Rhinolophus ferrumequinum: one gene and its partner. The protein of the gene in region 1 interacts with the protein of each later gene in a pairwise test. Links are inferred from orthologs where the notes say so. Each region holds a gene or a part of one and is shown on either strand. Other genes may lie near its edges.

Region 1 (11,293 bases):
GGAGTTTAAGCACAGAGAGGGATAAATTACCTTTGGCTTTATGGATCCAATATCATCAAACTGCCCCATGCAGATATTATGTTATTAAAATGAGAGCTGTCTGTGAGATCATTCTATCTTGTTACATTGTATACTAGGGCAAACTAATTTAAATAAAGTGAAATGAATAATTAATGAAAGAAAAAATATTCCTTTCAAAATTCCCAGATACATTTGTCCTGTTCTTTTGTTCTAGCTGCTCGTTATTTCCTCTTTCCACATTTTTGCATCATTTTGACTTCTTTACCTTCATGGTTTATTCCTTCGTTTCCATTTCAGAGTTGCCATAATGGCAGCCTAGCTGCAGACAAGAAGCCATTGTTCTCTGTAGGAGACGGTGTGGAAGACAGGAACAGCTGGTGTGGAAGACAGGAACAGCTGTTGCTCTTTCTACCCCGGACACCTAGAAATGCCTTGTTTGACATCCGTGGACCCACCCACCAGGCTCATACACGGGTGGAAGTCCCCGTGCTCCCTGACTGAGCCAGGACAGTACAAGTACCTTTCCACTGGGATGACTATTTCTGGTCACTGTTTGCTCTTTTTTAGTGAACTGGTTAATCTGTAGCCTTTCTACTGAAAGTGCAGTCCAAGGAGCAGCACCACCATCAGGATCCCCTAACCATATTTGAAATGCAGAAACTCTGCCCTACACCTGTGGAGTCAGGATCTCCATGTTAACAAGAGCCCTAGCTGATGCATATGGACATTAAAGTTTGAGAAACACTGGCCTACAAGACACCCTTTGGTCCACAAACACATTTTCCCTTTCTAGTAACTGTGGCACACGTTGCAAGGGAAATCAAGAGCAATCATATACTATGCTGAGATATAGCTTAGTAGAAATTATGTCCCTACATACAACTAGGCTAAGACCAACTAGAAAACAAACTTAACTAAGAACAAAAAGGTGAGCTCTTTTGCCTGATATGTTTTTAATACTCTGAGTAGATCAGTGAACTTCCTTACTGCAACAATTTGACACCTCTTGTAGAGTACTATTCAAACCAGAGAAATAATCAGAAACAACTTATTCAAGCACCAACCCAAATCTTGCTTCTTGGCAATTTCTATCATTTCTTTCTCATACAGTCCTTCAGGTAAAAACAAACTACAAAATCGCAACTCAAAAAACAAAGATAGTCAAGCAAAATAAATTTCTTTTAATATTTCTCTAGCTGTGTTCAGTAGGCTTATGCATGTTCTCTTAACAGCTGAGCTCCCTAGAAGTTACATTGATTTATTGTCATGCGGGGCGGCCTGCGGGGTCTCTGGTCCCGCTCCCCACATAAGAACTCAGAATATGGTGAGGCCAAAAAGGAACACCCAGGGAGCCATAGATGGGGGAGTCATTACCACTATATTCTCACTGGCGGCATCCGCCTCTCTGCAATCCGCTCTTGCCAGCTCAGCCACCATCTGCTTGCTAGCCCCCATTTTCTGCTAGCGTAGCCACAGCAGTTATATTAGTGGCCAATGGCTCACTGGTTACAGCTGACGGCCAACTAGCCACAGCTGATGGCCATCCAATCACAGTTGATGGCTATTTACTACCTGAGTGAGCACCTTTCCACGTGAGGCCGAGAGCCTGGAAACTGCACTCCTGGCTCTGTCCCCACACTCCACCCCTACAGGGTCTCGCCTCACAATCTACACGACTAGCATCTTCCAAGAGGGGACCTGTGCGAGGAGCCTGGTGGTGAATGCAATATCCTAGACACAGCCAGGCTCTCTGGATACAGCCAGGGTTTCTCAGGGCACCACCAGTGCTTCTGGGCACAGCCAGACTTACTGGGCTCAGCCGGTGTTCTCAGGGCACTGCCACTCTCTCTGGGCACAGCCAGACTTCCTGGACTCAGCCAGGGTGTGGGGACGGAGCCCCAAAAAGCAGTTTCCAGGCTCTCGGCCTCACATAGAAAGGTGCTGGCTCAGGTAGTAAATGGCCATCGACTGTGATCAAATGGCCATCAGCTGTGGCTAGTTGGCCATCAGCTGTAACCAGTGAGCCATTAGCCATGAATATAACTGCCGTGGCTAGGCTAGCAGAAAATGGGGGCTAGCAAGGAGATGGTGGCTGAGCCTGCAAGCGGCGCAGTGAGGGTTGAGAATTGTGTTGCTCCTGGTTCCTGTGTCTCCAACCCAGCCGCCAGCGAGAATATAGTGGTGTGACTGCCCTACCTATGGCTCCGTGGGTGTTCCTTTTTGGCCTCACCATGTCCTGCGTTCTTATGTGGGGAGCGGGAGCTGAGACCCCGCAGGCCGTCCTGCATGACACATGGCGCAGCGAGCAGGGTCTCCCGTACGACACAGGGCTCTTAGGGCACTGCCACTCTCTCTGGGCACAGCCAGACTTCCTGGGCTCAGCCAAGGCCACTCAGGGCACCGCCACTCTCTCTGGGCACAGCCTGACTTCCTGGGCACAGCCAGGGCCTCTCAGGGTACCACCAGTCTTTCTGGGCATAGCCAGTCTTTCTCACATATTCTCCATGGCGGCTGGTGGAGACATGAAAGCAAACATCCGCCAGTTCCACTACATGGTGGTGTGTTCCCAAGCAAACAGTCAAGCGGTCCATTAAATTAGGGATAGAAGGCCATTCCCCATAGTCCACAGTCATTCGCCAGGACTGTGCGTTAGATGCTTTGCCCGATTATTTGTCCTTTGGGATTTTTGATGATAACAGAACCAGAATTTAATATTTTTATTAAATATTTTCCAACATTACAAGTCTACACTCTCTTTAAGCATTCTGAGAATCTCAAGGCTCTTTGAGCTTTTTCTCTCCTGTGATTGTTTTAAAGTTCAAGCCAAACAATTAGGTTTATCCTATCATCACTTCATCCAAAAAAAGCTCTGTCAGGAACAGCATTCAGTTTGCAATCAGACAAGGAAAGCAGGAAAAAATCAGCAATATTCTCAGATTTCCTTAAAATAATTTCCTTAATATAATATCGAGGTTTACTGCTTCATATCTTACAGGCTTGAATATTAAGGATCAATCTTTATTTTTGAACCTCTTGTTCATGAACAAAACACTCAATTGTCCCTTTTCTAGCATTGTCAAAGGCAGTGGCATCGTTCTCTAAACACTTTAACAAAACAGAATTTTCTGACTGATCAATTATGTTTACATGATAAATCGGTGGCTCAAGATTCAAGAAGATTCAAGAAGATAACATCCTTTATTCTTTCATTTTATTTTTATTATTTGGTCGAACTATTTCTAAATATTTGATCTATCATATTTTATTCACTTATACAAAGTTATTCGTATACACTAATGTAAAAACCTGTCCATTGGAACTATAATTTAATATATATAAATCTATCTATCTATCTATCTATCTATCTAGTCACAGGATGTGGAGTATAGCATAGGGAATGGAGTCAGTGGAATTGTAACAGCTATATACAATGTCAGAGGGGTAATAGATTGGGGGAGGGAGGTTATCACTTTGTGAGGGGTGTAACTATCTAACTATTACATTGTTTTGTACACCTGAAACTAATAATAATAATAAAAAGAAGTCAACATTTTTTAAAAACCCCAAAACCTGTCCATTGGGACCAGCACATTAGATGCCTACTCTTGTATCTAACCACTATGTATAGTCACTGTACTTGCAACTGTAGGTGAAACAAAAGAAATAAAAAATTGTCTTTGTCATCAAAGTACTTCTCTAGGTAGGAAGACAAAGCAGAAGAAGTGTGAGAGAGAAAAATGGAAAAAGTGTCTCACTAATGTAAAGATGGTAACAGCTACCATTTGTTGAGCACTTGCCATGGGTAAAGCACTGTGCTTAGCCCTTGACATATAACACGATCTCAGTCACAACAGCTCCATTTTACAGATGAGAATGCCGAGGGTGGGAAACTTTGGTAACTTGAAATTGGCATTCAAACCATCTGATATCAAAACCATGCTCTTAACTATGTAGTACTGAGTGGTACAGAGTATGAGATGGAGTACTATTTTCCTTTACTTTTTAAAAAGTCTGTTGTCTACTATATTATGTATTTTTTCCAGTTTTATTGAGATATAATTAGCATTTAACATTGTGTAAGTTTAAGGTGTACAACTTGTTGATTTGATACACTTATATATTACAAAATGATTACCACTACAGTGTTAGCTAACAACTTTATCACATCACATACTTACCATTTCTTTTTTTGGGGTGAGAACATTTAAGATCTACAACATTAGCAAGATTCCTTTACTTTTATATATTCCCATTGCAAACGTCTTGAAAACTAGAATGATGTTACAATGCAGGGCACATTTTAAGTGTTCCAACTTCCCCAAGAGGAACTGCAATGGAATCACCAAAATCTTAGCAACGGCAGTGTAAGCTTAGTGTCCAAGAACTTTCTTAAAAAAAGAGCAATAATACAATGGATTTCAGGTCGTTTTCTCATGGTTTGCACACCGACTAAACTCTTAATTCCTCTCAAGTTGTTTCATGCCTTTGCAATTTTTCACCTGAACTTTTGCATCAGTCTGCTTCCTCTAACTTTAAGACTCAACGCAGTCTTCACCTCTTTTGTGGAGGAATCTTTCCCTGAGAGAGAGCGGACTATTCTCTCCTTTGTGTTTTGCTACTGCTGGTATCCCACCTCTTCATAGCATACATTGTACTGTATGAAACACTGGTGTGTGTGTGTGTGTGTGTGTGTGTGTGTGTGTGAAATTATAGGGAAGTCTGGGAGGAGAGTTCGTTGCTTTCGGGTAGGGGAGATAAATGTGTAGCATATATGTATATATCTCATGTCATGGCAGTGTAGATTTACATAAGATGTCAAGGCATCTCATGTGCAACATAGTATTTATTGAGTGTGTTACAGACATTCCGTAAATAATAACTTTTATATTAGGAAATAATATATTATAGTGTAGTGTAGGAGAAGGTTTCCCTCTAACTTCTTAGGGTCTTGGCTGGGTCTGAAAATAAAACTGACAAAAACAGATAATAGGAGAAAAGCATACAAATATGTTTAATGTAAGCTTTACATGATATTGGAGCCTCCATAAGGAAATGAAGACCCAAAGGAACAGTTAGATCTGAGTATTTTATGCTGGGTTTGATGAGAGTGTACAGTCGTGGAGAAACATGATGGGTGCAGGTGTATGAGGTGAGTGTAGAAACTGGGGAAACAGCAAGACTTGTTTGTTTGAATTCTTCTCAGCGTCCATTTGTCTTTGGAGGTAAGAATGTACCTCTCACAGGAGGGTTTTATGACCTGTTTCAGAGGAGAGTGGGAGTGGTAGGGCAAAGGCCAGAATGACATTCTTCTCCTGTTTTCTCAAACTCCTTCAGCTTAAATTATTCAATGTGCTAAGAGGCACATTTTGGGGTGGCATGTCCAGAGCTCCATCATTCATAAAGCGTTCCTCAAATTGCCCCATTAGAAACTCTTCAAGATTTTAATAGCTGCTCCATGAAAAAAAATGGATTTAACGGTCAAAGTAGTTGGAATAAAGTTAAACTTTTTAATGTGTCTTGATTTTTCCTACAATACTTCTCAAAACTCTTAATGTGCGGATGTGCATTTGTGAATCCCCAGAAGTGAATCCAGTATGCACCGTTTCCCAATCCTATCTGGCGATAGATGTCCTTCTCTATTCACCACAGAACACAGTGTGGAGACAGATTTCATGGTCAAGAGTAAAGTATGATACCAATGTCATCATATGTTAATTGCTTGATTTTGGATCATCTCTTCAAGCCTTAGTGTCCCTATCTGCAAAGTATGGTAATACCTGTGTCTCATATTGTTGTTGGCAAAATAAAAAGGTTTACAAGATGCCCAGGAGCTCTCAGTAGGTGCTAGCGATTATAATTGTTAATGTCCAGGAGCTGACTATTACTCATCTTTAGAATCCCAGCGCTTTGCAGAGTACTGGATCTCAAGGTGAGATGAACTCAGGCTGTTGTTACACCTGGCCTGGTTTTAGCATGAAGGTGGCCCAAAGGGCTTCTTTCTCTACTACCAGCATCCTTCGCCCTTTAACAGGATCTGAGTCAATATTAGATATGTCCTGTTCTGGTCATGGTCCTGCTGCTTATATCCTTCTTATAAAAAACAAAAATAAGACAAAAGAAGAAACGAGGTTGAACTAGGTAACTTCTAGAGTTCATGCTCTTTGAAATTCTAAGGTAGAAGAGAAGTAATTCTCAAGTTGCAACAGATGGAGTTTTTGTACTTAACTGGACTAATGAGCACAACAGTCATCATACACCACTTGATTTTTTTGTTAGAAGAGCCACTTTAGATTCCCATCAATATTACTGATATGAAGGAATTTGACTTTTATCAGTTATTTTAGACCACTGTATCGGTTACTATATATGACTATATATCGGTTACTACATAGCTCTACAAATTAGAATTTATGCCTGGAAATTAATTTGGTACATTTACTTCCTGTCCTGTATAAGCAAGTGCAGCTGTGGGGTGGTTCTTTGTGTAGGATTAAGAAACACTGCAGTTCTTGAAATAAGCCAGATGGTTTTATTTTCAAAGGAAAGGATCACACCTAGTGAAGAATTTATTTACAAGCTTCACAACAAAATAAAAGATTAAAAGAAACTTTCAAGGGACATGGGTCATAGAAACCCACTGAACACCACAGCTTCCCAACTCCTGGGCCCAGAGGACATTGCAAAAGACACAGAAAAGTTGACCTTGTGCTGGCTGTAAACATTTGTAGATTAAGGTTATAATGACCAAGACATTACAATGAGAGTTATACAATCTGAATAGACTCCCGTTTTGACTTGGTTTCAATCCACTTTTCCAACAGTAGGTCCAGTAACATACACACACACAAGACTGGTTTTGAATGCATGTCCTAAAATTAGAGTTAATGGAAACTTCAGGAATACTTTTGGGATAGATACCCTCAAAACAAAAACGAAACAACGACGTTTTAAAAATCGAAAGTGAAAACTGTAACTTGTTAGCGATTAATCATTGGAGACACCAGGTCTGGTATTCCGAGCAATGGTTGGTTTTAAAGAGAATCACCATTTGAGCTGAGTTTTCTCTTTCTTTTTTAAGGACCCAACTGTTCATCTGAGCGACACCCACTCCGGATAAGGCAGCGCCAGCCTCGGGGACCCGCACGTTCCCGCCCCGCTCCCGGGCTCCGGGCGACTCGGCGGCGCTCCTCCCGCGCGCGGCCGCACCAAGTTTCCGGGAAGATCGGGCACTTTGGGCCCCGGGGCGCGGCGCTCGGCGGGCCGAGGCGGGTGAGTGGGGCCCCGTTTCCCGGTCGCCATCCCTGCCCCTAGTTGTCGGGGCTAGAGGCCGGGGGTTCGCAGGGAGCTGGGTTCCACGGGGGCGGAAATGGCGCGCGGAAGGACGGGCTCTGCGCCCCCCGCGCCCCTGCACTGCCCGCTGCCCGGGTCGCTGCGGCGACACTGCCGGCGCGGGGGCGCGCCTGCCCCCCGGCCACTGTGCCTTCTCGAGGCCGGGCCGGCCTCTGCCCCAGTCTTCTTAGTTTGCTTTGCTTCTTTGCGGAAACGGAAACTTAAAATGGTTTGCGTTTCCCCTCTGCTCATGCAGCGTCTCTAGAGATAGTTCTTAGAAAAACCGATTCCTTAAGGGATTTTTACTCTCCTTGGCAGGTGCAGTGTTTGGCAGTCGTGCCTTACTTTGAAGAATATGCAGGGAAAGTCTTGAAAGAGATATCCAAAGGAGAAGACGGTGTTTCCCTGTCTGTACGACGCACAGAAGGTTTTAAAAAACTATAAATGTGTATCACCATTTTACTAATCACCACCTTCTTCCTTTCCCTCGTTTCCTTCTTTTTGCTGCCAGGCATGCATATGGGAAAATTCGTTTCTATCATGCTGACACCACAATAATATGAGTATATCAGAAAAATAGGTAGTAGATGGGTGGAGGTGATTTGTATTGTTTTTTGTTTTGTTTGTTTCATTCGCTGGCATAACAAATTGCCAAGGATTTAGTGGCTTAAAAACCACATTTATTATCTTAAAATTCTGTAGGTTGGAAGACCTACCTGAGTCTCGGCTAAAATCAACTTGTCTACAGGGCTGCTTTCCCTCTGGGAGGCGACTGGGGTGAAATCTGTTTTCTTGCCTCCCGGTCCTCTCCCCTCCCCGCTTCTTTAGGCTGTCCACCTTCCTTGGCTCAGTGGTGTGCTTTCTCCATCTTCAAAGCCATTAAAGATTACATCTCCCTGACCATTCTTTTGTTAGCACATCTCACTCTGACTGGGGTCTCTTGCCTTCCTCTTTCACTTTAAAGGACCTTAGTGATTCCTTGGGCCACACTGATAATCCAAGATGATCTCGGTATTTTAAAGTCAGGTGATTGGCAACCTCAATTCAATCTACAACCTTAATTCTCCTTTATAGTGTAACCTAACATATTCACAGATTCTGGGGATTAGGATGTGGACATCTTTAAAGGGGCCACCCATCTGACAGCATCAAAGGAAGGCTATTACTGTACATCCCACTCATGCAAATAGGGAAAGTATCCAGATACTAAACATGCCATAAGAAGTTTGGGGGATATTTATAGAGTTAAATATATTGAGAGTCTTTATTATAAGCTTTTACGAATATTGACTTATAAAACAAATAATGTTGCAGTTTCTGCTTTCTGGAAATGTAATAAGAGAACTTCATGTGCCTGGGATGTCCTGAGCAGAATACCTGAGTCAAGATACTGCACAATTTTATAAATTTTGGGTGTTTTCAGTGTGTAAACTTGTATTGTGCTCTGAGTGGGTATAAGGAGGAGTGGACTTGGTCTCTGGCCTCAAGGTTGTGACCTTGGAAAATAACACAGGTACATAAATAACTAAAGCTCCTTTTGGGGAGATAAAAGAAGGAGAAGTAACGTCCTTTGGGGGAATCAGAAAAGGCTTCAAGAACTTGGGGGGGAAGTTTGGGATGGATCTTGAAGAACTCTAGGATTTCATTCGATGGAAATTAAGGAAAGAGGAGAAGAAGGATGTGACATTTTGAGAGGCAGAGGGAAAAGAGCCACCCTTTGAGGGCTCGGTGTGATTAAGGGACTTAATCCAGGAATCGTCTAAATAAGACTGGAAACTAAATTGGGTTAGACCGGGTAAAACCTTGGATGAATGCTGAATGGCATCATAAGGATTCTGCAGTTGTTGGTAGAATAGAGAGCTATGTGTAAGGCATATATCTTTTTATTTTGAAACCATCTAAAACTTACAGAAAAGTTGCAAGTACAATACAAGCAACTTTTTTTCCCAGTGAATTATTTGAAAATACATTTCCAACTTCATGACCCATTGCCCTAGAATTCTTGAGCATATATTTCCTACAAGAAAGGTGTTCAAAATCAGGGATTTAATATTGGTACATTACTGCCATCTAATTCTTGGATTCAATTCAAATTTTGCCAGTTGTCCCAATCATATCCTGTATAACAAAGGACCCAGTTCAGAATCATGCCTTGCATTTAGTTGTGATCTCTTTAGTCTCCTTCTGTGTAGAACAGTTTCTCAGTCTTTTCTTGGCTTTTATGAAGTTGACACTTTTGAAGAGAATAGGCCAGTCTGTGTAATGTTTCTTCATGTTTAGATTCAGATTATGCATCTTTGGCAGGAATATCATAGAAGTCATGCTGTGTTCTTAGTGCAGCCTATCAGATGGCACATGATTTATCTCCTTATTTACTTTGATTATTTCATGATAGTGGCGTCTGCTTGGCTTCTCCACTTTAAAGTTACTTTTTTCCCCTTTGAAATTAATCAGTTTTTTTGTATTTTGAAACTAAATGGTCCTTTCCTCACCAACATTTCAATTTATTTATTTACATCAGTTATTTCACTCAGTGGATTTAATCATTGCTGTCATTATTTACTCTTACAATTAATTTATTCCCATATTTTGGCCAGTGACAACCTCCTCAAGCTGGATCTTTTGTCCTTTTGACATGGCCTCATTATTCTTTGAGCACTTCCTTGCTTTCTGGCACCAAAAGATGCTTGTCTTGTACTTTTCCTGTCTCAGTCCTAGAAAAAGCTAGAAGACTAAAGTAATAGTCTTTTAAAAGGGAACATCATAATACGATTGAGATGTTAACTACAATGGGATGTTAATGCCCATTGTATTCTATTGGTGTGTTGAAAAGCAAAGGATTTTTTATAACCCTTTTATATATTTGTAGGTGTGAAATTATTGAATTATAGACTTTGTTTGCATATAAGCCACATGATAATAAAGACTTTGCTGACAGGAAAAAAGATGTAGCAAAGAAGAGATGTTTTGCTGAAAGGGTTTTAAAGGTTGTCATTTTTGCTTATTGAGTTTATGTGTATATGCTATTTTTAAAATATTAAACATGTTATGATAATTAGGGAATCATGGCAACTGGTGAAGACAAGGAAAAACAAGCTCTTAAGGCGGATTGGCATGATGACAAACCTAAGAAAGATGAACAATACCAGGTAAAAAGGAAAAATTAAAATTAATTTATATCTATTAGTTTTACAGTGAAGCATGTTTTTTATGTCTTTGCCCAACATTGCCTTGAATTTGGGAGGATATTAGGGTTTCCAAATTTTATTTTTACTTCCATCATTCAAGCCTTACAAGAAGAATCATATTACTACTTTGTCTTACAAGGCTTACAACATTAGCTACTTTTTCACTCCCTCATTTATTTGATTTGTACCTAGAAGTTAAGAGCTTACTGTGTTTCCCTGAAAATAAGACCTAGCCAGATAATCAGCTCTAATGCGTCTTTTGGAGCAAAAATTAATATAATTGCTGGTATTATATTATATTATATTACATCACATTATATTATTATATAAGACCTGGTCTTATATTAATGTTTGCTCCAAAAGACGCATTAGAGCTGATTGTCCGGCTAGGTCTTATTTTCGGAAACACAGTAGTTAACAATTATCTGATCAGACCAAAGAGGGAAGGGAGGCTCAGGTAGGTTAAACCATTTACCCAAGGCCATGTCTGGACTGTCAAAGCAGCTGTACTATGCGAATCAAAGCAAATTTTTAAAATTGCCCCAGAGTAATATACGTGCAATTTAAAAGTCATATTGTAGTCACAAATAACCAGGAAGGGAGTTGACAGAACACTGAACTTAGGTTCAGATCAGGGTGTCAATCCTTGCTTTACTGTAGAAATTTCTGTGATTTGATCAATGTGAAAGGTGGTTTCCTTGTTTGTATAATGGAGATAACAATATTTGGAAATGGTAGGAAATGATATAAAACAT
Region 2 (10,756 bases), on another chromosome or scaffold:
TGCACTCCTAACCTCCGCTCTGGACTGTTCATTCATTCAAGAAACCCACAATGAGCTCTTCTTTGTGCCACATCCATGTTGCCACACCAAATATATGACAAAAACTCCACCCTGTCTGGAGGCCCCCTTCCATAAAAGTGTCTCAGCATCAATCAAGTCCTTTGAGTTCAAAAATCATCACAAATACTTGTATTCTAATTTACGCTGATTGTAAACCTTATGCAAAAGTTATTTTGAAAACTTAAAGATGTTTTAGCTCTTGAGGGGGTCTGCAAAAGATAACCTGGGGGCCAAATTCAGCCACCGCCTGTTCTTGTAAATAAAGTTTTATTGGAACACTACCTCACTCTCTCATTCTTGTATGGCTGCTTTCCTGCTACAACTGAGTTGAGTTGTTGGGACAAACTGGCCCACAGTCTCAAATACGTATGATCTGGCCCTTTACAGAAAAAGTTTGTCGACTCCTGCTTAGAGCACAAAGCCTAAGTTCTAGGAAGGAACAATGGTGAGTTAGTTTTAGGTCATACATGACTGAATTCATTGACAGCCAGTGTGACTGTTGAACCATCACTGTCCCCACACTAGCCGTGCTTTATGATTCCTTACAATGACCTAGAATATACTTGATTCTTGACATCCACACACTGGTTTCTTGCTTAGACGGGTTATAAAACAATTGTACAGTCAGAGAGTTCTCTTTTTACATTAACTGTCAGAAAACACAAAAGAAATCTGCCACTTTTGATAAAAACCTGAGTATGGTTAAGTTTTCGGTATTATGTAAAACCCTCATTTGAATTGGATTAATCAAATAACCAAAGTTTGTGTTTATTTCAGAAACTTGTAAATTTTGTTTCCTTGTTGGAATCAACAAGCCATTTTATAGTCAGATCCTGAATTTTAAAAGTACTTTTTAAGACCAAATGATTTGCTTCATAATCTCCCTTTAATCCAGTGGTTCTCAGGCCTGGCTCCTCAGCAGAATCACCCAGGGAGATGATCACACCCTGATACCCAGGCCGTATCCCAGGCCTACTAAATCGGGATGTCTGGGAACACAGCCCCAGCACCAGTATTTTTCACGGTCCTCTGGTTATTCTAAAATGTAGCTGAGGTTGAGAACTGTGCTCTAATTAGAGCTAATTGCCACCATAACGGAGGGCTTACTTGGTTATCTCCACATATGTGAACAATCAAATGCCATGAGAGAAGGTTAGGTATTTTAAAAGAGGCAGGAAAAAGGTGCTGCAAGAGTCCAAGGACTTAGCAACCATCCACACCAGCAGCTCAAAAGGGAGGAAGGGGAGGAAGATTCTGGAGGGCAGGACATTAGGTAGAAGGATGGCTTTCAGTAGGGCATTATATATGCATATGAAACGCTTTTACAAACTTAAGATCACAGAATTTTGTTCTATAACCTGTTTCCCTTCATGTCAATAGATATGTATCTGTGCCATTTTTAATGAGACACCATTAAGATGGAATTGATGCAAAGGCATGAGAGGGGATTGAGGTACGGGGTGGGATAAGGGGAACAATCTAGAGTTTGGAATCACACACCTGGATTGCAATTATCATTCTTCTCCCATTAGTTATGCCACTAGCTCTGACCTCGTGCCACCCCTCTGTCCTTATCTGTGAAACGGAGATAGCATATTTCCTCATCCAGTGGTCTTAAAAGTCAAATGACACCATGCAACTAAAGTTCATTAGGCCCTCATTTAGCACAGCAACTGAATGGTTGCTTCCGTCCTTCCTTCAAATGTAAGGGTGATGGGTACATTCACTCAAACAGGAGGACGTGGGGGAGGGACCCCAAACTGGGAGGAGAGGCTCACAGAACTCCTTCACCTCCGTCCACTTGACCCTGGGAGGATTCCTCCCTTGGCATTCTTCCAGAGCTCTGCAGCCATTAGCCAAGACTGCTAGGTAAGCGGCCCCATGAAGTGTCATCTCCATCACCAGCCTATCCTGACTGTCATCCTCACGTCACCATCACCATCGTCCTCACTGTCACCTGCATCACCTCATCATCACTATTATATCCTCCTCCTCCTCCTCACCAATAGCATCACCCATTTACATCAGCAGCATCGTCATCCTCACTGTTACCATCACCGTCATTACCATGGGCACCATGATAAAACAAGGAAGAGAAAAATAGAAAATATCGGATTGGCTGTTGCCACATAGTCAGCCTTGTTTGGAGTGAGAAGGAAAAGGAAATAAGTGCAAATAGAGCCCCGAGTTGGCTTGGTGTTTGGCGATTGGCTGACTGGATAGACTGCATTTCTGGTCAAGGGGAGCATTTACAGGGACACAAAAGTTATGTAAGTTTTGTTTTGCTGACATGGCATTCCAAGCAGAAGTGGCTCCATCTTGGGCCTAGAAATTTATTTCAAGAAGTCATCTGGCAGCTTTGGTTTAAATTCTGAGAAACCACCAAACTGTTTTCCAAAGCAACTGCATAATCTCACATCCTAGCAGCAATGCATAAGGAGCTTAGTACATAAATCCCCAGCCACCTCTGATGGGGGTGGTGGAGGCATTCTGTCATTTCCATCAGAGGGAAGAAGGAACCGCCTTGGGATAAAGGTGAGCACATACCCTTGGGGTTCCCTGAAGGAGGTGAATCCCAATGCAAAAGCAACTCTAAACAGTGAAGCGACTTTGGCAGGGAACCAGTTGGACAATAAAACCGTGATTTCCCCTTAGAAAGAGAAGCCCCCAAAGAGAATGTTTCTATATGCATCTTGTAGTTCTTTCTCCCTCTGCAGCTGTCAGAGGAAGGAGAGATCGTCGATTTGCTGCTGATGAAAATACTCAGTTTCTTGGGCATTAACTGTAAAAGACAGGGGCCTGGAAGCAGCGGGGAGCAGCCTGAGTCAGAGGCCTGGCCCCCTCAACCTGCCCTAGCTGTGCCCCAGGTTTAAGCTGTTTGTCCACACAGGGTCATCTGTAGAGTAGGGGAGGCCAGAGCCTCGGGCCTACACTTAACCAGGAATTCTGTCATCTCTCCAGTCAAAGTTTTTCTGTGTCCATACATGAGTTACCAAACCTGGTGAGTAAAAAACTAACAAAAATATGTATATACATATGTACTAGTGCCACTACTGTGATAGACTGTTCAAATGTATTTCCTCTTAGAAATTAAACAAATATTGTCTGGAGTTCGAGAAAAAAAGTCTTCTCTACAGACTAATTATTTCATCTTCCTGGTTAGTCGGGGGTTGCCGTTGAATGATTTTAATTCAGGGTTTCTCAGACGGTCTGAGAAATGCTAATGGGTGTCATATTAGTTTGCTAGGGTAGGGTAGCTGGTACAAAGGACACAAACTGGGTAGCTTAAAATAACAGAAATTTATAGTCTCACGGTTCTGGAGGATAGACGCCCAAAAATCAAGCTGTCGACAGGGCTATGCTCCCTGGGAAAGCCCTATAGAGGAATCCTCTCTTCTAGCTTCTAGCACCTGCCAGCAATCCTTGGCATTCCTTGGCTTGCAGATGCATCACTCGAATCTCTGCCTTTTCTGTCAGATGGCTTTCTCCCCAGTATGTCTTTGTGTCTCTTCTCCTCTTCTTACAAGGACACTAGCCATATTGGATTAAGGACCCACCCTCATTCATTATTAACTCATCTTAATTGATTACATCTGCAACAATTTCTGTTTCCAAATTTGCTCACATTCTGAGGTACTGGGGGTTAGGACGTCAAGGTATCCTTTTTAGGGGACACAATTCAACCCATAACAGCTGTCGTCACCCCCCAAATGTTTCTACATCAAATAAATGTGGGCAACACTGGGTTATAAAAGGTCACGTAAATTCTTTAGCCGGGGGATTGTCAGAGCTTTTAATGTGCTGCATGTGCACTGTGCGTCTCCTGGGATGAGACAGCCCGAGCGACAAAGTGCGTAACGATTCCAAACCTCCTTGACCAAGGCGTCCAGTACTGCAGCACCTCGATCAGGGCTAGTCTTCCTTAGATGATACGTTGGGAATTGCTGATCTACACCAGCGGTTCTCAACCTTGACTGCATGCTAGCTAGAATCCCTAGACTTCATTCCAATAGAGCAGAATCTCTGGGCTGGGATCGAGGTGTCAATATATTGTAAGCCCCCCAGGTGACTCCAGTGTGCAGTCGGACTAGACACCGTAACCATGCTCTAGAACCACAGGTCTAGATAATAAAAGGCTCCCAGGCGTCTGTGTGGATGAGTACAAATTTCCTGTTCCTCACGCGGGGGAAGCACCTCATACATCCTCTCCAACTCACCTGTCTTCTCCTCCTCCTCACACACCCATTGTAGCAGACACTCCAGGTTGCCTGCTCCAAACCCGTTTCAGACTTTCCGCCTCGCTTTCAGAATCCCAACTTTTTTAGGTAGCCACCTACCCCTCCCATACAAGATCCTGTAACCACCTCAAGGTGAACCTGATTTGCCTTAGGAAAGGGAATTTATTTCCCTTGACAGTGAGCAGTTTAGTGTGCACATTACCCAGTGTGGCCAGTGAAAAATGAGGAGAGGTCTCCAGGACACTTCCAGGAAAGCTCTGCTTGCTAATAAAAAGAGACCCAAAGAGATGGGCTCTTATGCTGCTGGACATTGTCCGAGTAAGAGTCCCGAAACTTTGACAGCTACCTTGAGACCACAGGGAACAAGGAAGATGGCAGAGCAGAAAGATGAGAGGAACATGCATGCTTGATGAAGTCTTTAAACAGCTGACTTAATCAACCCTGAAGCTGAACAACTGCCAGCCCTTTATCTGGATGAGAGCTTAAATGTCTTTTGATGACAGTTGAATCAGTATCCCACCCTAGTACCCTGACAATCAAAACCCAAGATCCTTTATAGAGAGAGGCATATAACATGCAATGTACATAAAACCTTGGGGATTTCATCATCTTCTATCCACCCCAAACCCATAACCATTCCTTATTGTATCAGGTATGAACATGAGCTATACATGAAGAGATGCTCATAAACTAACCGACAGCAAGGTGTACACATGTCTCTGAATAGACTGGTACACAGACCTACCCAGAGGCATACAAAACAGTCTGTTTTAAACAGGGAAAGTTCTAAGATCTGGAGAGGTTGTAAATTATTCATTTCTTTTTCTCATCTTTCCCACCTAAACTCCACTTCTCTATTGACTGTAAATATCAAACTGGCAACTCCTTCCATCATGTTATGTATGGAGGAGAGACAGTTCCATGATGTGACTCCTGCCAAGGCCAGCTAGCTAGATCCAGACCACAAGAGATTGCTTCCCGTACTTCCCTCAAGAAACTATCTGAGCGACCCCCCGTGTTGGTTCCCGGAACAGGCCATTCCCCTGGTCCCAGCAAGCATGAAAGGCGATTTCCCCTTCTGTGGGCAGGTCCTACCCAGTACCCTGATCTATCCTGCCCTGTTCTACGTAATTCTTTAGCACCGGCCATGCCCCATTCCACTACTGGACAAGTTAAACTATCTGTGCCTCCAGCTCCTCATGTACGAAATGAGTTTACCTACTAGAAAGGGGTTTGGAGAGGATTAAACAGATAATGTTTGCACATTCCCAGACCCATAGCAAGGGCTCATCAAATGGCTATTATTTACTCCCATGAAAATGGAGCATGACAGCTCTTGCAAGGCACTGCACAGATGTGCCAGCAATCCCGATTTTATGTGAGGCAGAAGCTCAGTGCAGCAACATATGAGCCTTCCAAACAAACGCACACACACACACTTCAAAGAACCCACTCTGTAATATTTGAGGTGTGGGGCTTGAGGTGCTTTTCACGCCAGTGTTTCTTTGCTGATTCACGCCCACTCCATAAAATCTGTGTTGAAGGTGAGGTCTTTTCCAGAACTTAATTATTTTTTGTCTTCTTGGATGGATATATGTCTTCTGCTTTTCCCAGAAGACCTTGGTCACGGGGCTGGTTGCACAAGCAAGAGCCTTGCTAGATCTCGACTCTGCTTTCTGATTGCTCCTGCATTAACTGACTGGCTCCAGTAGAGTCTACACCAAGGAGCCACTCCGGATTCTTGGGCAAATACTTGCCCCCTGTATGTTTTATGATTCCGTCTGTCCCGTTTGGGTACTCTGAGCCTTTTGGGATCTGTAAAGTAATAAAGTGGATTCTTGGATTGTTTTCCAAAAGTCAAAGAGAAACTGCATGTATCAGCGCGCCTTTGACCAATGCCCAACAACCATCTTCGGCTGGAATGATTTTGTTTGGACCTGGCTATGAATCCCCACTCTGGATGACCTTGATCCTCAGTAGGAGGGTAGGACGCATCCTTTAACAAGACTGGGAGAGGCCCGCATTACCCTGGCACAAAGGCACCGTAATGTACTGGCCCAGCAGAGCCATTCCAGCCTGCAGCACTTCTCACCCCTAGAGCCAGTCACGTAGAGCGAAGTTGATGACCTAGCGCTTCCACTTCACCTAAAGCGACGCCCGGAGACGTAGCCCCACCCCTACCCGGGAGGCACCACCCATCCATCCCTTCGGCTGCGCAGCCCGCCCCGGTCACTCCCTCCGCACTAGTCCCCGCCCCTCGACCGCTGTCCCTTTTCGGGTTCAAGCCGTTCCGCTTGCCCACGCCCCTCCTGCGCGTCGCCCAATCCGAGTCGCGCCCCCTCGCACGCTGCCGTATCAGGCCCCGCCCCGCCCGGGGCCCGCCCCTGCGCCCCGGCGCAGCCGGCTCGCTCCAGTCCAGGGCCGCCCCCGCCCCCGCTCCGCCTCGACCCCGACTGCGCTGTGGCGGAGGAGGTGCACCACGACCCTCTGCACTCCGGCGAACATGGCGCTGCGATCGGCGCGGAGCGTGCGGGCGGCGGCCTGCAGCCTGCGCGCCGCCTCGGCGCCCGTCGCGCCCTGCGCGCCGCGGCCCTGGGGCCTGAGGGTGGGCGCCGTCCGGACGCTGCGCACCGGCCCCAACTTGCTCTCGGGTAAGCGCGGGCGGGCACGTGGGGCGAGCAGAACGGCCTCGGGGCGTGGGGAGCTGGGACGCCTCCCTCCTGGCCTTGATCTTTACCTCAAGTCCTCGCTGCCTCTCGCCTCGGGTCAAGCGAGGCGACTCCTGCGCACGCTTGTTATTGCTGGGATCACTAGTTCCTTGGCTGCTGCTCCCCTCTCCAAGTGGCGTGGACGACACCGCAGCCTTTGTCCAGCGGGTTAGGGAGTAGGAGGGGGGGAGGAGGCCTGGAGCACACGCGCTGTCGCCGAGTCCCCGCTCGTTCTGGCGGGAGCGTCATCTGCTCGCTGCTGGAGAACTCGGCAAGCGTAGCCAAGCTCCTTCGTGACCTTAGGTTAGCTCGCATGTGTGGGCATCGTGGACCCTAAGAGTGGAGACAAATAATAGGCTTCAGTTTGCTCCACGGACCATCATTGATAACTCTGAAGTAAAATTAAGGCAAGAGCACAGTTTTTGAAATTAAAGCACAGGGTCTAGATTTTTACTAGCTAAAGCGAGCAAAACTTTGAAGACCCAGTTATTTCCTAAAAACAGTAAGATAAAGTCTTCTGGACTTTTTACAGAAGACGTTCTGCTCAAGTGTATGTTGAGTCATGGATGTGTGTTAGGATCGCAATGAGGCCCAATTGACATGGACTTGAAGTAACCGGGGGACCTGCCCGTAAATGTCTTGGCCGTCTGTGCCCTTCAGCAGTTATCTCGGCGGAAAAACCGTTGTCTTAACCTCGTGGGCAAATACTTGAGACACTAACCAACTGCACCACTAAGAACTCGGGCTTCTTAGGGAGCATAGTAGGTCTGTGATGGCTGTGGTCTCATCAAGTGTATTGTTTTAGAAACCTGTTTGGGCCTGGAAGAATTGGTAAATTTATTTATTCCAAAGTCTGATACAAAGATGCTCATTCCCCCACCTCGTAATTATAACCCCTCAGCTCTGTTGATGCCACATATCAGTACATTACCAATTTGAATATAAAGGAAAAGCATTACTCAGATGAGACTGAATTTCAAATCTTTGTTTTTTGATTATTCAGTGTTTGACTGTTTGTTACGTTTTTGCATTTTCAAACAGTTATCTAGTTAAATATTGCCCTAAATGTCAATACCCAAGATCTGGATAAACACCTAGGTTTTTAAAAACAGAAACCCGAGTTCCAATTTTGGTTACTTACACCTTTTATGAACTATGTGATCTTGGTAGAGTCACTTAACTTCTCAGTCTGTTTCCCTCCTCAGAAAAATGGAAATGGTAATGCTACCTCACAGTTGTTGGGAGGATGAAATGGTATAATAACTGTTACATATATCCTGACACATAGTATTGACAAATGTTACTTGTTATTAAATATTAGTGTATAGAATCAAATAAACAAATGGTTGACCAATATTAATATATTTTATCTGACTAATGATTTTGAAAGAAGTTCCAAATTTTTCACAAGTTACTCAAAATGCCTAATTTTCTGAGGTCAAAAGCTGTTCCTCAAGGCTCAGTAAGAAAGTAATTATTTACCTAATCTCCTGTCCACTTTTTTCTTGCTGGGCCAAGGGTTACAGGAGAATTATAGTAATTGTTGTCTTTAGCCTAAATAGCGTGACCTAGTAAAAAGACTTACTGGACTTTGAAGTCAACTGGCCCTCGGTATATTTCGCTTAGTAACGTTGCTAATGCTTCCTCTATACTTGCTCAGTTGCTAAATTGAATGTGAGAGTGATCTTAACTCCTAAGATTATCTTTACAATTAGGAAGATGGCAAGGCCAAAATCAGGACAATAGTCTAAGAAGTCACGTATTTTATAGTTCCCCAGCCCTTACTTTAGAAGATATATTAGATTAAAACTGCCAATTCTAGAGTTTTAAGGGCATGATAGAGAGAATTGAGTGTCGTAGACAAATAACTATGTATACTAGATATTTTTCTCAGAATCCCCTTAAATTTTAAAAAATTACTTCACTCCAACTTTTAAGTGCTTACTCTATGCCAAGCATTGTTTAGAACTGGGAATACAAATATGATAAGCTCTGCTTTTGCTTACTTTGTACTTATGGTCTACTTCCTGGGGAAAACTGACAAACAGGCTTTATCTGTAGCATGTTCAGTACTGTGAGTGTGTTTGGGGGTCAGGGAGGGAGGAGGCTGAATGGCTCAGGAGCCCAGAGTTGGAGGGCTGGACCAGTCTTCTGTCAGGAAGGAGCTTCTTAGGTGAGATAGGAAATAGTTAAGAAACGGCAAACAGCGTTAGTTAGAGTGTTGCAGTCAGAACACCAAGTACAAACCTTAACCTTTTTATGAAAAGATCAGATTGACTTGAAGCATTCAGTTATTTGAAGTGGAATGAAGCAAAGCAAATTTCCTTTGTGTCAGACTTTGCAACTTCTTCCACTGAAGAGTAAGAAATTAAAGTTTTTTACTGATTTGGGGAAAAGAAAGTAATAAGCTATACTCTAGTTCTGGTGGTATCAGATCTGTGAAACAAAGTAGTTTAGTGCTGTTTTAAGTACAACTATCTTTTGGGTAAGGGGAAGCGTGAACTAGCAAGGCTTACTTTAAAGCAGTACTGGAATTACTGAACCATTTTCCTATTAATTTCTGATGTATTATGTTCAGAAAAATACTTCACTTTGGAATGTAGTATCTATTTAAGAAGATAGCATATGCTTTTTTAAAATTTACTTATTCCTTAAAGCAAGTATTTTTAACATTAAATCTTAAATAAGTTTTTTTTTCACATCTCTTGAACTTTGGTCAGTCTTTCTCCCAGGAATCCTTGAATAGTTCGATCATGTCTTTGAAGAGAAGAAGCTCATAAAGCCAAGGGCTAATCTGTCCAATGAATGTTCGGCAGAGCTTGACTTTCCACTAGTTTTAATGCCTTAGCTGAGGTGACTGTTTAGTTCTGATCTTATAGTTTGCTTCTTTAAATGATGGTAGCATATTTCTTCCAGGGCAGGCTTGAAATCAATTAAAGGAGAATTTTAAGAACTTCATTGAAGTTATAATTGTTCCAGGTCAATTTTATGTAAGATTTCACTTTATAACCAAGTTGCAATGAAGCTCTGTTAGGTCAACTCTACTAAAGAGGCCCATTATTATTTTTTAGGTTAAATAATTTATGAGCAGCAGTCTCTGGGCTCCTCCCCAGACTGATCACTCCAAGTCTGTCTTCAGAGGGACAGACTTTTTTGCAAGACAGACTAGTAGTAGATAAGTATACATATTTGAAATGTCCTCCAAAATTTTGTGTGTATGATCCAGACTAAGTAATGTTAGAGCAAATAATCAAATCTCCAGAAGATGCACAGGGTATTCACATCAATCCATATTTGTCGAAGTGATACATACCACTGTTGAGAAGATGTGCCATCTTTTCACATGATCTGTTTTTTTTCCTGGGCAGTGTACGACTGAAAAGCAATGTCACTAAGTCAAACACAAATACTGGGAAAGTTTTGCCTTTTGACAGCATTGATACGAAAAATGCTTTTTAAGAAATGATGATACTGCTTTTCTGAAATATTGGTCTTCTATTTTAGTGCGTAAATTCACAGAGAAACATGAATGGATAACAACAGAAAATGGTATTGGAACAGTGGGAATCAGCAATTTTGCACAGGTATTGGATTGTCTCGAAATAGTTAAAAGAGTCTCCTCTCACCTAAATTGGATTGTCTCTACCTTTTAAAATTTGTTTATTCTGCCCTTAGTATTTTGGGCCCTTTGATGGCCCTTAGAAAAATATCAATCATAAGTTAAATAAGTAAAACATAATTTAGTTAGGG

What was found.
Region 2: the proteins of NMI (region 1) and GCSH interact in binary tests that used the Homo sapiens proteins (3 or more experiments, as listed by UniProt). The two-hybrid records come from large-scale screens. The link is inferred for Rhinolophus ferrumequinum from reciprocal best matches to the Homo sapiens genes NMI and GCSH.

The regions. Positions count from the first base shown.
Region 1 is NC_046291.1:69,052,713-69,064,005, forward strand, and holds the start of NMI (N-myc-interactor), read left to right. Parts: upstream 1-6,982; 5' UTR 6,983-7,025; intron 7,026-7,099; 5' UTR 7,100-7,290; intron 7,291-7,668; 5' UTR 7,669-7,761; exon of another isoform or gene 7,762-7,777; intron 7,778-10,409; 5' UTR 10,410-10,415; coding exon 10,416-10,499; intron 10,500-11,293. UniProt on the Homo sapiens protein: Acts as a signaling pathway regulator involved in innate immune system response.
Region 2 is NC_046298.1:27,235,910-27,246,665, reverse strand, and holds the start of GCSH (glycine cleavage system H protein, mitochondrial), read left to right. Parts: upstream 1-6,697; 5' UTR 6,698-6,801; coding exon 6,802-6,949; intron 6,950-9,282; exon of another isoform or gene 9,283-9,311; coding exon of another isoform or gene 9,312-9,366; intron 9,367-10,510; coding exon 10,511-10,590; intron 10,591-10,756. UniProt on the Homo sapiens protein: The glycine cleavage system catalyzes the degradation of glycine. The H protein (GCSH) shuttles the methylamine group of glycine from the P protein (GLDC) to the T protein (GCST).